Nothobranchius furzeri: one gene and its partners. The protein of the gene in region 1 binds, or shares a complex with, the protein of each later gene. Links are inferred from orthologs where the notes say so. Each region holds a gene or a part of one and is shown on either strand. Other genes may lie near its edges.

Region 1 (6,005 bases):
CTGGTTTTTGAGTCTGACTAAAACACACCACTGTGCTCCTATGTCCGAACCTACTGGTCCATCATCATAATTGGTAAATACAGAGGTGTTACACCAGTCTGTACCTGCGTAGGCGTACCTAACTTGCTTGTCTCCGCTTCAATCAGTCAGAATCTATTTCAGCGAGGCGCCGAAGCAGCAAACCTGTCACACTTAATGCTCACAAAGACCGACAGGCAAAGAAATTGTAATACAGCCCACATATCAAATTAAGCACAGCCAATTCAATCCCTCAAAGCTCACTTTTCTGCTGTATTTGATCAGAACGATCCTACACACTCAATTAAGTGTGATTTAGTTTTAATTGTAGGATTTACAGTGAAGCACGTACCACACATCCCACTCGTTAAACAGGTGCCCATTAGTGGAATTGTAACTTGATTTATCATACTCTCTTTATGCGTTTTCTATTGTTCTACGTAAGATTGTTTTTTATACTGTACCTGAAAAACAATGCAAGAAATGAATTACTAAACAGAACCAGGTGTGAAGTCTTTAACTGCAGAAACAATTAAACAACTCTTGGTGTTTGGGCTAAAGCCACTGTGTGCATTTTAGAACATCCCTAGGTCAAATTTAGGTGGAAAAATGCTTAATTTCTTCAAGAAGAAAGCATCAACACAGCCAGTCACGTGATCGTAAGGTTGCAGGTTCCATCCCAGCTCCAACCAGAAAGGGCTGCTGTTGTGTCCTTGGGCAAGACGCTTAACCTGCCTGTATCAAGTATTAGGAAGAAAAAAAACTTCACAAATCAGAAACAAATAATTTATCGTAAAATAAATTATTTCAAAAAGCATCAGGTATCAGGAAATAAACTTCAAACAAAAAAAACAACTATAATTAACTAAAACCCACCACGCTTCATAAAGTGTCAAATGAAAATAATAAATAAAACAATTAAAACATCTGTTTGACAAAAGCCTCAACTATTAGGAATAAATGTACCAATACATTAAAAAACATATCAAAATAATATGGGTCCAGGATAAAATCAGAGATCAAAAATACAGAATCAATTATGAAATGTTGTGTTTGTCCCGATACTTGAAGTTTCTCCATGATACCTGATGTCTCTTGTTCTGGTGCAGTTTAGCTTGATCTGCAACACGATTTCCTTTGTGCCTTTTCATATAAAGATCTAAAATGTTCTACAACGGACTTCGAGAGACTCTGAACAAATGTTTAAAATTAAATCTAAATATATTAACCAGTGTGTGAATGTGTGTGTGAATGGGTGCATGACCCTTGGGGGGGTTGTAGAACCCTAAGAAGGTGCTATACAAAAACAGGTTACTTACCATAAAATATAAAACCCAGGAATGTCAGTAGCATGGAAAGACAACGGGGGCTTAGCCCGCAGGGTTGTGGAATGGAACTGGCACGTACTGACAGCCAAAAGAATCAGGGGAGTGTCCAGGGGGTGGCCTGGGGTAGCAAATGCCACCCTTGGAATCTGATTGGCCACCCCAGGGGCCACCACACTGAATTCACTTTAAATTGGCTTTTCATTGTTCACAAAAGGCTTGGGGTAAAACAAAAAAATGAAATAAGCATAACCATTGGTGCCACCCATGTACAAAGTAGTGCCTCACCTGGGCCACCCCATTTTCAAAGATCTGGACACGCCACTGAAAAGGATGTGTTATAATTAGAGTTTGTAGAAATTTTTAAGTGCGCACCTGAACCTTATAGATATAGTTTGTGACACGATGAGAATTACTGCCTTGGGGTAATTTTTCGGGGGATCTGAAGCCCACCCTAAATAGGCACAATGATGTCCATTATAAAATTTGTCCACCAAGCACAGCTGATTGGGCGACGGTGGCACAGGAGTTAAGCGCTCGCCCCGTAACCGGAAGGTTGCAGGTTCGAGCCCCGCTCAGTCTCTCTCTGTCGTTGTGTCCTTGGGCAAGACACTTAACCCACGTTGCCTGCTGGTGGTGGTCGGAGGGACCGGTGGCGCCAGTGCTCGGCAGCCTCGCCTCTGTCAGTGCGCCCCAGGGCAGCTGTGGCTACATCGTAGCTCATCACCATCAGTGTGTGAATGTTTGTGTGAATGGGTGAATGACTGATTGTGTTGTAAAGCGCCTTGGGGGGTTCCAGGACTCTAGAAGGCGCTATATCAAATACAGGCCATTTACCATTTACCATTTTGTTTTGACAAAACAATGCAATTGAACAGTCATGTAAACTTAACGCACTGAAGTGACTATTTATAATCCCAAATCACACAGATTTTAAACACCAGGCGTATGGCCATTGAGTATCTAATATAAATATCTATAATTGTGCTGAAGGAAAATCCCCATTGGGTAACTGACCGTCTTCACGCTCTGTGATTGGCCAGTCATATAGGGCGCCTGCCCCTCCCTACACACAAAACTCTGCAGCCCCAGTCCGGCCCATGCATCCACACACACACACACACAGATGGTAACGGATCTCTCTGTGCTTGCATCTCTGTTGCTCACGTTTCTTCAGAACTCCTTAGGTTTTCTTCAGCTCACCTCTTTTTCGGTTTAATATTTAAAGTTACTTTTTCGTAACGTACGTGGTGCATTTGACAAGACAGAGCTGAAAACGGCTCGTGCTGAATCGCTCACTGCCTCCACTCGGGTTTCTCTCTCTCTCTCTCTCTCTCTCTCTCTCTCTCTCTCTCTCTCTCTCTCTCTCTCTCTCTGTGTCTGTCTGTCTGTCTGTCTGTCTCTCTCTTTATGTATTAATTCATGCATTTAAATATTAATGTTCTAATTTAATTGAAAAACTTGTTCTGTAACAGTTCCTTTACTATTGTGATAAAAAATATTTAATCTGAATTCTGAGGCTGCTCTGTAAATAGTTTTCAAATAAACAATACACATAGCAACTTTTGATCATTCCATATCAATGTCAGACTTAAAATAATGTATAGATGTAAACCACACCCACTTCCGGGTTAGGCCACGCCCACTCCGAGTACAGATACAGATAATTTAGATGGTTGAACAGTAGGGATGTGAATCTTACCCCCAAATTCCACTACCTCCGCTCCCCACCTTCCGCAGCCGCTCGCTTCCGAACTCAATTTTTACTGGTACCCGCTCTACAACGGCTCCGCTCCATTGTGGAGACCTGAGGTGCGCAAACAAGCATGCGCAGGATTTTCGAGATCCTGCGATACAGTCCGAGCAGTAAACGCGGAAGTTAGATCCAAACACCTGTTGTGTGGGAGAAGCATCTGCATGAGCTGTTTAATCTGCCCATCATTTGTGTTGAGAGATCAGCAGTGTTTGGATCAACAAAGTGTGTCTACTTTGATAGTGGAAACTGTATTCATAGCTTACTTTTGTGCATTTAAAGTTCAACCGCCACTGATAGTTGTTAAAAGTTGTTAAACCTGTGCATATGAATCAAAAAACACTTTTTGTTTATCGATTTATTGTTAAATAACGGAAGTTGTGCTTGCTCCCTTTCCTGTTGGGCGGTTGTGATTCCTGTCCATTGACTGCGGAGGTGCTCCGGCGTCCGGCAAAAATAGGATCGATTCTATTTTTGCCGGACGCCGGAACAGAGGGCGGCGCACTGCCGCAGCACGGCTGCAGTAGTGGAATAGCTCTGATTGACTACAACGGGACCGATTTTGCTGCGGAGTTCGTGGCGGAGCGGAGGTAGTGGAATTTGGGGGTTAGAGCAACTCACGATTTGATTTGATTCTGATTCTTGGGGTGCTGATTCGATTCAGAATTGGTTCTCGATTCTCAATTTAAATCGATTCACAGTCAGTATTAACAAAGAGTGTCAACTCCAGGATTAACTACTTTGTTGTACAAGTTAGTTAAAGCTATGGGACACTGGTCATGCTCCAAAAATGCAAATTTACAATGTAAAATAAAGTGATTCTAAAACTGTAAACAGAAGCAATCTTTTGACCAAAAGGCAACATTTATTTTTGCTTATCTTGTAAAATATAACAAATCTGTAGATCTCAAACCTGTAACATGCCAAATATTTGAGTTCTTGAAATCGATTCGGAACCTTTGTGAATCGATTCTGAATGTTTATAAATAAGAATCCCGATTCAGACTTGAATCGACTTTTTTTTCAGCACCTCTAATGAACAGATACAGATAGTGGTGTACTTGCTCATCCCTAGTATCTAATAGTTTCTACAGTACAGGACTGATCAGGCAAATGAAATCTTCCGACTGATTTCCCCACATGCAGCCATGCCGTAATCATAGAATCATTTCTGCAGGGTCTAGGGCAAATCCGTTTCAAAATGAAACTGGTGTAAGAATCGTGGAGTGATGCTTCAAGTTTTATTCTTGAAGTACTTCATGTTTTACTGTCAGGGAAAATATACGGAAAACAGGATTTTTGTTGTCTTCATGTTCACGAATCTTTCTCTGGGTGTTTGTTGTTTCTTTTTGCAGGTCTCGCAACACAACTCCAGTGTGTTCTGGCCTCCAGGCTCAGATTTTATCCTGCTACAAGGACAACAAGGAGCAGACTCTAAGGTGCTCAGACCTGGCTAAGGAGTACATGCAGTGTATACATGCTGCAAAGAAGGTAAGAGACTTTAGGTATCTGTAAGAACCTGATCATTCAGATAACATCTCCCCATCATTGAAGCCTTGAATTTACATTAAATGAACACCATTTGCTTCTAACTAGATTATCTTGGAACCAAAAGTTTAAAAACTAAATGAAAGTGCCTTTTTATATAGTCAAAGAACCACACTTTCTAGTGGAGGTGTTCTGATTTAGAGCAGCACATACCCTTTGTGTTCTTTTTTTGTGTCGACGTTAAGGGGCACAAGGCGGTAAAAAGTTATAATTGCTAGGATTTTGAGTGTTGCGTCTCAAGGTTTTTACACACAGAAATCCTGTTATTGAAAACAGATTTCAGAGCGAAAGTCTAAGTTCAAAAACTTAAGTTCTTCCACTCGACTTGAGTTGTTTCCCCACGACTTTAAACTGACAACAGTGTGGTTGCTTTAAAATAAGTTCACCTCGTCTCTACAGACGGGTGTTGGGGCTAATTTTAGGTTGTGTTTGACAAAAAATTAAAGCGTGGGATGAACAGAAAATATGATCACTCAAGATAACGATGAGTTTAAAGCAAGATGTTTTCCCAGATGGTGTCATTCGATGTTTTTCCGAATATTTTCCTCAGCAATGCAGTGGATATGTGTAACAGAAGAAAATCTAAAACTGGAATGTAGGAGCATTGCAATTTTCATTTCTTTATTTGTGTTAATTTAAACAGTTTGGCTCCAGGCTGTGGTCACTTAAAGAAGATCATGTTAGAAAGTGTATTTCTAAATCCAGTTTAATTTATATTTTATTACGTTTAATCTATTAAATCTGCATCTATTGGCTCAACTTTTAGTCACTGTCCGTTTTCGCAGCAGCAGATTAGTGTAATTGTTTTTTTGTCTGATTTGCTTCTCATATTTACTTCCGTGTGTCATTATTAAGCTCTGGAAAGTCATGCTTGTTTTGTGTTTGTTTCCTTTCAAATAAGTCATAGAACTCTTAAAAGTCACTTTTACTCTCAAGTCTTTTTTTTGTCTTAACTCTTTGTTCTTCAGGCTTCAGTGATCTTTTACTATTATGTATCACTGCTAAAAAAAACTACTTCTTTAAAACTAATGAGCTGACAGTGAAGTTACCTTAAGAACAAAAAGCAAGATTCAGGCCTAGTCCACACGTAGCCGGGGTTTTTTAAAAACGAATATCCGCCCCTCCAAAAACGTGCATCCACACCACCTCGTTTTAAAAACAAACTGTCCACACGTACCCGGATAAATATGTTGTTAAGGACATGCCAGACCTGTAGGCGGCAGTACTTCCCCCATTCTTAACCTCGTCCTTCGTCTGTGGTCTTCCGCGAGGAGCAATAATTCCGCTTGCAAAAACAAACAAGCAAAAAAGCGCTTGGACAATTGATGGATCGGGTAGTGACAGAGCGCAGCTCTGAGGGC
Region 2 (5,723 bases), on another chromosome or scaffold:
TCAGAAGGATTCAGCTCAGCTGTGCTCCTCAGCAGCCTGGAAGAGAGGAGGGGGGGGGGGGGTCGGTGTCGGGCTGATCACCGGGGCTGGGTGATCCTGGCTCCTCCAACTGAAGAGGCCAGGCAGGTGGCCATAACACTTAACAATAACATAGTGCATCCTTGTGGTGGATGTTTTATTTAGTCACATGCAGAAAGCTGGTTTTCACAAATTATTCGCTCATTTTATGCTTCAACTCCCAAATGTGCTCAAAAGTCATGAAACATTTGCTATAATTTTACACAATGATACTTCTGTTTAGCGTTGAGTAAAGGGGAAGCAGGGGTTCATCACCAAAGAAATCCATCTTAATATTTGTATAACATGTTTTGTACTTTATATTACACAAGAGTTTCTGGTCTGACCATTTCTGACATTTGATCACACATGTATAGGTGTTGAACCTGTATCTTTTGAACTGTTATCTGAATTTCAAATTCAGATAACAGTATATATATATATATATATATATATATATATATATATATATATATATATATATATATATATATATATATACATATATAGTGTCCTAGTGCAGTGATGCGGGCATTGTACTGGTCTGTTGTGGTGAAGAGAGAGCTGAGCTGGAAGGCAAAGCTCTCAATTAATCAGGCGATCTAAGTTCCTATCCTCACCTATGGTCAGGAGCTTTGGGTAGGGACCGAAAGAACAAGATCGCAAATACAAGCGGTTGAAATTCGTTTTCTCAACAAGGTGGCTGGGCTCTCCCTTAGAGGTTAGAAGCTCGGTTATCCGGGAGGGGCTTGGAGTAGACCCACTGCTCCTCCACATCGAGAGGAGCCAGTTGAGGTGGCTTGGCATCTGGTCAGAATGCCTCCTGGATGCCTCCCTGGTGAGATTTTCCAGTCACGTCCAACTGGGAGGAGATCTAAAGGGAATACCCAGGACACATTGGAAGGACTATGTCTCTTGGCTGGCCAAGGAACACCTTGGGATTCCCCTGGAGCAGCTGGCCCAAGTAGCTGGGAAGAGGGAAGTCTGGGCCTCTCGGCTTAGGCTGGTTCCCCCGCGATCCGACCACGGATAAGCGGTTGAAAATTGATGTATGGATGTATTTGAATCCCATCCACCAGTCTTCCTGGGGCTTAATGTACCCTGTGCACTGTGGGAGGGTTCAAGACTAGATTTTGTAGTCTAAATAATATATTCATTTGGATATACAATAGGTTAGGTAATAGGAGAAATACATTTAGATGTTTAATGTATCCCTCCAGATGGTCAGACAAGAACATATTTGCTTGTCCAAACAGAATTAAACCGTAATTGTCCAAAAAAGTTCCAAACAAGATATTTTAATCCTTATATTGTGTTAAATATTCCTAGTTTCTGTAACCTCACTTTAGGTTAACATTAGGAGAAACTAATTACCTATGTAGAAAATGTTTACAGTTCTTGTGAACACATAACATGCATTAAAAAAGACATTACTGCACTCTGAAGTTGGTTAAAAAATGCCCCCCCCCCCCCCCCCCCAAAAAAAAACCCACACCAAACATTACTGGTTTTAAAATCCACACCAAATGACGTTTTTACAATTATTCTTAAATTTACCTGGATCAAAACTTGGCGCAGTCCATTTGACAGCAAAATAAGCTACAGAAATGCTCCCTATCAGGATTTTTGCAAATGGTCCCATGTGTGTAAACTCGCTATAAGTCTCAGAAAACTTCCTAGCTGTGTTATAAAAGTCTGCCTTCACTTTCATGATGTGAAGGAGGTGCCATTTATGTAACATCCCCCCTCTCTCTCTCACTCACTCACTCACTCTCTCTATTTTGCGCTTCTCCCGAGATCAAATTATAACATATTTAAATATGTAACATTTCTTATAGTAACTTAAAAAGAACATTTATATTTAACCTGCACACCATTTTTATTTTCATTTTGCTTACATACAATTTTACAAAAGGAATAAAGTGGGATAGAAAAGAACGAATCTGCCGCTGAGAAAAAAGCGTTGGGGTTTCAAAAAACAACTTTATTGACAAAAACAGAGCTAACGCTGCAATGTCCTTCAGTGCAGCCCTATGTCGATGGTGCAGCCTAGCGGTGAAGTTAGATTCGCTGTTTGGAGTCTTGGTAAAAACAGCTTATAAAGAGAAGTTACACAGCTGTGGACCATGGCGGCAAGGATTTTGCCTTTACTCAAGTTCGTATATTTTAATTCACTGTTAAGTTTCGTTTAAGTTTTAGTGGTAAGTGACCTGAATGCTTGATTAGCTTGTGAGCTAGCATGCTACGGCATTTATCCGTTTACTGTATTGAGATTTCAAGCTGTTATTTTCCGATACTTTACTAACTAAATTGTCGCCGAGGATCCAATCAAATATTGCTTCATATGCGATTTTTCATGAATGTTTTGTTGAGTTGCTGATATTGCTTGATCAACGCAGAATTTAAGATCTCCCTGCTTTATTACTTAATAAGCAATGTTTTAATTTTAAGGTGGTGCTTTTGAGTGTGGTAAATGTTACGTGGCTGGGTGGTTTTGGCTTACGGTGTGGCTGATCTTTCATTTGCAGACTGGCCACCAAGGTGACCATTGCAGGAGGCGCTGTTTACGTCGCCTGTGACTCGGGTCTGCTGGGAACCAGCGAACAGGGCTCAGAGGCTCTGGAGAAGGCCAGAGCTGCTATACCACCCGCCATCGAGGAATGGATGAAGTATTTTGGTCTGGAGGTAGAGATGAAATTACACTTTTAGGCGATCACACACATTTTGACATGTTTAAACTGTAGAAACTGAATTCCAGCTACAGCCTCTGCACAAGACTTTGTGGGCGATGCATCATATGTGAAATTAAGCCTTATGTTTAATTGTGTACATCATTTTTTTCTTCTTTCCTCTGTTCCTAGGCTCAGGTTCCAGCCATACCTAAAATTGAAATTTCCCCTGTTGAAGCATGGAATTCTGGTAAGAACCTAGTAAGAATAAGAATACCTTTATTAGTCCCTCAGAGGGTTAATTGCAATATTGCAATGGCTCAGGTACAGCAGGACTTTTTCTTTAATAAAGTGAATTTACCAACAAAAACCTTAGAATATTATCCAGTTTCAGTGATCATTTCATTTGGAATCAAGTATTCTTTAACAACAGTTATTTCTTCTATCACAGGGGTGCGGTGGACAATTTCAAGCCTCTCAGAGGCTCCAACTAAAGCATCTGAATACGCAAGTCAGGGAGTGCAGTACGCAAAAGACCTCATCAAATGAACAAGAACTTTCTGAGTAACCTCATTTATCTATTCACTTGACTTTTGCACTTGTAAATCCTTAAGTCGTCCCCTTTCCTGAACAAAACAGCTTATTTAAATTCAGCTGCAAAAGAGATCTCGGCTGTTTTGTTGAGAGTTGTTGGAAGGATACTGTACATAAAGCAGAACTTTGGTTTATTTCAGTTGTCCAGTAGAGTTGGATACCACCCAGATGTCAAACTGTCCAAAATAATGTAAAAAAAAGTTAATTTCTGCTGTGTGTGTGTATGTATGTATGCGTGCAATCTCACTATTTGCAATAAAATCATTCTGAAAACATTCTCAGGCTTGTTTGGTTTATTTAGTTAAACTTAATTTACAGTGTGCTGATTATAGCTGTGTTCAAAGTGAAGAACCAAACTAATGTGCAAAAATGTTTATTACAACAGAATATTATGACATGGGCAGTCAGTCTGCTACAATTTTGGAACAAGGAGCGAAAATGGAAGCATGAAGTATTTTTGACAAAAGCACAACTAGCAATGACGCTCAGTGTTAACCTTTGTTTTGAATGCATGTACAGAATTGTTTCTAGCACATCAAACATTTTCAAAACCTTCAGGCACTGTTAAGGTGATAAAATAACATAAACAAAATGTTTTCTCAAAGATGCAATAAATTAAAAGATTGTGAGGTCAACACACATTTAGCATCAACTGGAAAAAGAGCTTTTTGTAAGACAACTTACTACAAATTTGTTAGCTCATCAGATTGTGAAAATACATTTAGTTCTTAATTATAGGTGTCTTAATGATTTGTTCACAAGAGACTCAGATTTTAGGGAGAAATTTTTCTAAATGAAAATAGTCACAAGCAACATTATTGGGATTTAAACAAATTTTTACAGATTAAATATAATCTGAATGTATTGCAGCACTGTCTTTGTTTCCTTCATGCACATCACTTAAAGCATATTTCTGCCACTTTTGTCCTTTTGGAACATCCAGTGGAAACTAAGACTGTACAACAACCTAGCTATGTAAACTTTATACAATAAAGTGCTGCCCACAACATCGACAGTGACATTACACAGGCATTATGATCCATTTGAAGAACATGTTCAACATAAAGGGGAGAACCATGCTGCTGTTGAAAACTGATGCTTGCAGAACTGTCCTAAATGAAAACTAGATGGCAGCCTTCAGTTGCAGCAATAAAGAGAAATTGTATTTACAATATTGCCAAATTGACAAGCCTAAAGGCACTTTTTGAATTGTGTGTATTCAAATACTAAATTAGTTACTAAATAGCAAGCACAATAGTGCTATTAACTTTAACATTCAGAAAGACTTAAACTTTTCTTAACAGTCTCCTTAAGAAAAGCGACTTTTGATTCATATACTAAATTATGTGGCCAACCAGGTAAAGTTGTAGTGCTAAATGTGGTGCAAAGATGCAGATCGTTGGCATCTGACTTTAAAGAGGTCTGATTAAAGTGATCTTGTGAGGCTGTTTTCTTAAACCCTTTCTAGTGCTAACAATAAATTAAAGCTTTTATTCCAAACACTTTGTGTTTTAGCTTATTGACTTTTTGAAGAATTTCCATGAAAGGTGCCATCAGAGGGCATTCTGTGCTGCTTCTGTAGCTGACTGGATTTAGTTACGAGAAACTTTAAAAACTGATCAATGAAAACAACGCTGATGCGACGACTACCCACTCAATAGCTGTGAAACAATAAAGTGTTACAGGTTTTAGAACAAGTAGGCTCACCCATTTCAATGAGAATATCAGAGCAGTGCTACAGTTTCACTGTGCATTTAAACAAAAACGGCACCGACATGAACAATAAAGCTACTATTCAACCCTGCCATGGCTCTGAGTAACAGAATTAAACCAACGGAACAGCAGCGGGTGGTGGACAAAAAGAGTCCACAATGTTTAGGTGGTCTTGACCAGGTCATAGACATGAATATGAAAGTCATCGTCGTATTTGATATAGTAAACCGAGGGCTTCGCTGGGACCTGGTAGATGACCAGACCGGTTCTCTTCACACCCTTGTCGGTAACATACTCTACTTGTTTCCCCACCAGGCTCTCGGTCTCTTCTCCAGGCTTCCTGTCTGCAGGCAACAGGTGCTTGTTCTCTGGAAAGGAGAGAGGGTTGTTACCTGTACTGTAATCACCTGAGGCACTCGAGATCTTTGAGACAAAAATAGTGCAAGGTGATCTATATGCCACACAGAAACTCAAAATGGTGGTTGATCTTGAAAAATCTACTCAGTCTTTAGCTTTTATTTAGTTTTCAGTACAAAGGCATTTAGCTTTTAGCTTACAGCACACTAGGAAACACAACGAAGCAGTAAGTGGGGCAAATATACCGGACCGTGCTGTTGGAAAAGGCTGCCAAACCCGAGTCATGACGAGTAGTGTTGCTGGAAAACCCCTTTACATGTGTGGAGGGACATT
Region 3 (5,493 bases), on another chromosome or scaffold:
ATATGTTCACAGAAAAGATTTACTTTGATCATTCGTTTTTCTTTTCATTGTGTAGGTAGGATACAGTGTATTTTGTGTTACGTTTGTGTTTCTCTGAATTCTTGAATCATTGTTGTTGTTTGTCACTGCATGTTGATGAAGTCCGTGGGTCGCTTCATCAGCAGTGTCACCTTCAGTTCCTGCTTTTCACTAAAGAACTGGGCCTTTCCCTCTTGACTGTGGATGGGATGGGGCAGATGGAGGCCCAGTTTGCTGAAAAAAAGAGAAAAGATGGGATAAAAAAAATACAGCTGGATGAAATGTTGAATTAATGAAGAAGGCACAAAAAGCAAAATGTCAACAGCTGAATGAAATGGTACTGAAAACTTAAAGGTGTGGAGCACTCATTTAAATTTGCAGTGGTGTTTAGTAGAAATGAACGCCTTGTAAGTTGTGCTCTGGGGAAGAAATCCTCAGGTGCACCAATTTTAGGAAGTAGAGGTGAGTTACATCACAGCTGAGCTTCAGACAGTAGGATTTGGACCCTTCCTGATATCTGGACAGCTCACCTATTGGATAACAGCAAAGCGACTCTACCACTGACTCCAATGCTGATGTTTTATCTGATAACAAAAGCCTGGAGGAGCTTCTGCTGTGTGGTGTAGTTGCTCATGCTAACAGTTAGCTTCTACTAGCCAAGACGTTCTCTGCTGTTTCCTGGGTGTTGAACCAACAACAGCCTTCCCCGTCATAAGACAAGATATGCGAGTGCGTCAATGATAAGTGACCGTGTGACGTAGAGCTGTCAGGATTTTCTAGTCATTTCAACTGTTTTCTATCAGAAGCTAAAGCAGGAGATTGGTGTAGGAGACTATTTTTATGTTCAGCCTGCATGAAAATCTTAGAGTTATAATCAGAAATAAGATTAAAAAAATTTCAGTGTTTCACACCTTTAATCAAATACCTAGACAGGGGAGCTTCAAGACTGAACTGCAGCTGCTCAGTCACCGGAAAATGAAAGTGAACATTTTCAAATGATCTCTTACTATTTTGGTGTTCGCAGATCAAGAAACGTTTCTTTAAGATCTAAAAAGACATCTGTTGCTTTAGTGTCTGGTAGTTTGATTTTCACCTGAATGTGGGAGAAAAGTATTTATGAAGAAACTGAATGTCATAGCCTTTGTGCATTTTGATTTCTTCTGTCAAATAGAAGTTTGATGACATACCTGCATTGCCTCACAGCACATGGACGATGGATTCTTCCTGCTTAATCCTAAGAACAGGTCCTCGGTTCCCACATTCTGCTTCAGGATAATTTCATATCTGCACACAGACATAACAAAACTGCCTTTCTTGTTCTCAAAATGTCCCATCAAATGAAGAAAGGGCCTGCCTTCTTTAAATTCGGTGGTCCAGGAGGTAGACCAGGTTCAACCCCAGCTTTATCCCAGCCACTCTGCCATTGTGTGTTAGAAAAATGCTTCACCCACCCTCCCTATCCAACTATTACTATTGTCTTACTCTGGTTGAGGCCGTGGATCTACCACATCATCATAATGGGCCCCCTCAGCCACCTCTTCTTCACTCCAGATTGCTTTGCAGTTCTTCATGTTGGAACTTGAAGCTAAACAGCAAAACAGGCTGAAATAGTTTGTGTACTGCTATAATTCAGAATAAATGTAGAGAACTACAAGTAAACAACTCACCTTCATCTGTTTTTGGCGGAGGTCCGATGTGTCCAGGGCCAAGCTGTGCACAGGCATCCGCATTCTGGTGAAAATATAATTTCTAGTATTTTAGCTCAAATCTAAATATAAGAATTATGCAGGCAGTTAGTACAGTCGGTATGAATTACTACAAAACGGTTGTGAATTTTAAACTTTTACTTTATAGTTTTCATCTTCCTCCTCCTGTTTGGATAACAGTGCAGACAGAGCCAGTAGGTCCTGCGCAGATGATCCTCCAAGATACGCCATTGGGAAAGCTTAAATCCTTTCAAAAAAACACCTCAAACCACAACATCTACAAATGCAAATGCTTATATAACAAACTTAGTTTAGAACTTCAGCTTATAACCGGCTAAACGGACGTTTGAGAGGTCAGTGTTGACGGTTTCTGGCGACGAGGCTATCCGGTTGCCCTGGCAACCACCAGACACTTCAAGAAACGGGGAGATGGGGATTTCTATATCCTGTATTTGCTATTGTGACTACAGCTGCGTAAAAATGCTATTTAATGTTGGCTATAATTTTCCCAATTGAATAATTTCATTTTATGTATATACCTGATGTTACATTTGAAAGTTTCGCGGTTCGTCAAATTTCTCAAGAAGGCGTCACGTGTAATGCCCCTCCGCAGTTGCCGTAGTGAATGCATGGCCTTGTTCAAGGTGACAGACAGAGAGCCATGCCGGGAGCGCCTCAACTGCCACCTTTCACCGTTTTTGCTGCTGGGGCTGCCGGTGGCGGAGAAAAGGAGACAACGGCGCCGTTGAGCCTGGACGAACTGTCTCTGTACGCGGCTCCTCAGCAGAACCGTCGGTATGCGGAGCCCGAAGCCGGGCAGCTGGAGGAGCGTGTCGCCACCTTCAGGAAGCTAGCAGAGCCATACTCGGCTTGGTGTTCGGGCACCTTCGACAAAATTAAACCCAAAGTTCAGAAGGTCGTCCAGTTCGGGAGTGACGCCTACGCTTGTCTGCAGAAACCTCCGAAGGACTTCTATCCTCGGGCGGGAATCATCGGCTTTGCCGGAATGCTCGGCTTGTTTCTGGCCAGAGGCTCCAGGGTGAAGAAGCTCCTCTACCCGGCGGGTTTCATGGCCGTAAGCGCCTCCCTTTACTACCCAGAGCAGGCGGCAGCCATCGCAAAGTCAACCGGAGACTCCGTCTACGACAGCGCGGTGCGGAGCTACGCTGCGCTAGAGAAGATCCTGAAAAACCCTCAAAGCAAGGATGCAAACGGGGACAAATCTAAACGCAACCCGTAGGCTTATGTTCAGCTGCTCAGCAATACCAGCCTGGTGGTGACAGGACTGGCTTTAGGGCTAGGGTTAGAGTCCCTCTCTGCACTTTGCTGTTACTCAGGCCGGCCATGCCCTGTCACATACTGGACCTGCTACTTGAATAATTAACCTCTGATTGTATATTTAAGTAAAAAATGAATCTGTGGGGCTTTGATTAAAAATCAGGTTTTAACACATTTTTCTGGTTTGCTTTGTGAAGTTTGAGTAGAGACCAAAGAAAACGAAAGCTGTTCTGGTTCTGTAATAGGAACCTGACTTATGATTGTTTTTGATAAGTTAAACTACATCTTGGAAATCCCAAAACCATGAGCTGTAAAACAAGCAACATGTTTTAAATGAATAAATGATCATTCTTTTGAATACTAGTTCCCATTTTGCATGTTTTGTTGTCACAAACTCACCTAAGGCAGTGCCAATGAAAACAAATAAATGACTGGTAACATCTTTATTTCTCTCGGCCAAAATTAAAAAAAAAAATTAAATATGATCTACAGAAATGTCCTCAGAGCAGCACCAGCTTCTCGTTTAGGGCAATCTGTGCTTGGGTCAGGTTGGACAGGTAGGTCACCATCAGCAGGTCCTGCAGCAATGACAGTATTTACATGATTACACCAGAATAAGCAACATATTTACAGTAATGCAAAGGGACAATAGAGGTAAGGCAAATGCAAGGTCTAACTGAAGTCAGTACAGTTGAGGATCTCTTACGTTGATGTTGGAATTAAGCATGTTCTCAAAGTCCTCAGCTGAGATGGTCGGCACCTTGTTGACCAGGTCCATGAGGAAGCGGCCCACGCTGTTATCTGCTGTCACTTTTCCTGACTGAGACAAACCAACCTTAATCTTACAGCCATGATCAGCGTTTTAATCAACACCAACTAAACGTTTTCTACAATGACTTAAAACACTAAATTAATTAGTATAAAGGTGTAAATAATAGTTTATTTTTAAAGTTCACTCACCAGTACGTCCTCGATGTATGCGAGAACAGTGGTCAGCATGTCCTGTATCCTGGCTGCAGCACCACCCACCTGAGACAGGTCAGAGGTCAGGCCCTTGGTACGTGTGGTAGCCAAACGTGTCCTCTGTAACAGATCCACTGGAACACACACGGAGTATGAAGTACGGTTAAAATCTACTAAAACGAGGCCGTTATTTTATTTATTCTCGGCACTCTTACTTCCTATCCTCTCTGTGTCATAGTGGATGTACTTGACAGTCAGTGGGGTGAACATAACACCAACTGTTTTTCCTGGTACACCCATCTGGGCACTAAAAGACACACACACAGGGTCACTCTCACTGTTGATCACATTAAAAGATTCATGGACAGGAAGCTCAGATGACCTGACGTAAGCGCGGATGTTCATTTTGCCGCTTTGCAGCGCCGTGTCCACTGTCAGGTGAATGGGGTTGGTGGCCTCACGGCTGTAGTACTCGTGGATGAGAACAGAGTGTTCAGTGATGTCGAACCCTGTGGCATACCTGTCAGGAAGAGTGCATTTGTTCAAGAATTTGGCTTCTCTTTAATATAAAATATATATATATATATATATATATATATATATATATATATATATATATATATATATATATATATATATATATATATATATATATATATATATATATATATATATATATATATATATATATATAAGCAGCGGACATACCATCCAATGATGACCTCAGTGGGTGACACCCTCTTGTGAAGCTCATACATGTTCTTGGCAAACTCCATGTCCACAGCAACCTGCCATCAGAGAAAATAATGACCAAATCTTTACTCAACAGCCTTTGGAAAGAATGTTATTCCATTTTCTTCAACTTATCCAGAGTCGGGTCGTGGGGGCAGCAGCCTAAGTCGAGAGGTTCAGACTTCCCCCTCCCCGGCCACTTGGGCCAGCTCCTCCGGGGGAATCCCAAGGCGCTCCCTGGCCAGGCGAGAGACATAGTCCCTCCACCGTGTCCTGGGTCTACCTTTAGGTCTCCTCCCGGTTGGACGTGCCTGGAAAACCTCACCAGGGAGGAGTCCAGGAGGCATCCTAATCAGATGCCTGAGCCACCTCAACTGGCTCCTCTCAATGGGAAGGAGCAGCGAATCTACTCTGAGCCCCTCCTGGATGACCAAGCTTCTCACCCTGTCTCTAAGGGAGGGCCCAGCCACCCTGCAGAGAAAACTCTTTTTGACCGCTTGTATCTGCGATCTCGTTCTTTCGGTCACAACCCAAAGCTCGTGAGCATAGGTGAGGGTAGGAACGTAGATTGACCGATAATTCGAGAGCTGAGCCAGATGGCGAAGCTCTCTTCACCACGACAGATTAGTACAACGCCTGCAGCACTGCAGGTGCAGCACATATCTGCCTGTCGATCTCGCGCTCCAACTTTCCCTCACTAGAGAACAAGACCCTGAGATACCTCCAGAGCAAGTCACCCCCAAATCAACCCTTTTTTTGCTGATAAACTACATAAACGACTGTCTAATCATGATGT

The links. Proteins that work in one complex are often made in the same cells at the same time.
Region 2: chchd6a (region 1) and micos13 share a complex: the UniProt entries of both Homo sapiens proteins name them as parts of the mitochondrial contact site and cristae organizing system (MICOS) complex. The link is inferred for Nothobranchius furzeri from reciprocal best matches to the Homo sapiens genes CHCHD6 and MICOS13.
Region 3: chchd6a (region 1) and MICOS complex subunit MIC26 share a complex: the UniProt entries of both Homo sapiens proteins name them as parts of the mitochondrial contact site and cristae organizing system (MICOS) complex. The link is inferred for Nothobranchius furzeri from reciprocal best matches to the Homo sapiens genes CHCHD6 and APOO.

The regions. Positions count from the first base shown.
Region 1 is NC_091755.1:50,941,217-50,947,221, reverse strand, and holds part of chchd6a (MICOS complex subunit mic25a), read left to right. Parts: intron 1-4,451; coding exon 4,452-4,587; intron 4,588-6,005. UniProt on the Homo sapiens protein: Component of the MICOS complex, a large protein complex of the mitochondrial inner membrane that plays crucial roles in the maintenance of crista junctions, inner membrane architecture, and formation of contact sites to the outer membrane.
Region 2 is NC_091748.1:50,416,700-50,422,422, reverse strand, and holds micos13 (MICOS complex subunit MIC13), read left to right. Parts: upstream 1-2,052; 5' UTR 2,053-2,183; coding exon 2,184-2,212; intron 2,213-2,585; coding exon 2,586-2,742; intron 2,743-2,918; coding exon 2,919-2,976; intron 2,977-3,177; coding exon 3,178-3,275; 3' UTR 3,276-3,595; downstream 3,596-5,723. Other genes in the region: hsd11b1la (hydroxysteroid 11-beta-dehydrogenase 1-like protein), read right to left, coding at 1,615-1,768; spindlin-1, read right to left, coding at 5,196-5,401. UniProt on the Homo sapiens protein: Component of the MICOS complex, a large protein complex of the mitochondrial inner membrane that plays crucial roles in the maintenance of crista junctions, inner membrane architecture, and formation of contact sites to the outer membrane.
Region 3 is NC_091751.1:40,246,167-40,251,659, reverse strand, and holds MICOS complex subunit MIC26, read left to right. Parts: upstream 1-2,151; 5' UTR 2,152-2,349; coding exon 2,350-2,964; 3' UTR 2,965-3,365; downstream 3,366-5,493. Other genes in the region: dnaaf6 (dynein axonemal assembly factor 6), read right to left, coding at 123-252, 1,026-1,111, 1,206-1,302, 1,501-1,603, 1,686-1,749, 1,866-1,955; eif3f (eukaryotic translation initiation factor 3 subunit F), read right to left, coding at 3,503-3,580, 3,709-3,822, 3,963-4,099, 4,181-4,272, 4,348-4,485, 4,674-4,753. UniProt on the Homo sapiens protein: Component of the MICOS complex, a large protein complex of the mitochondrial inner membrane that plays crucial roles in the maintenance of crista junctions, inner membrane architecture, and formation of contact sites to the outer membrane.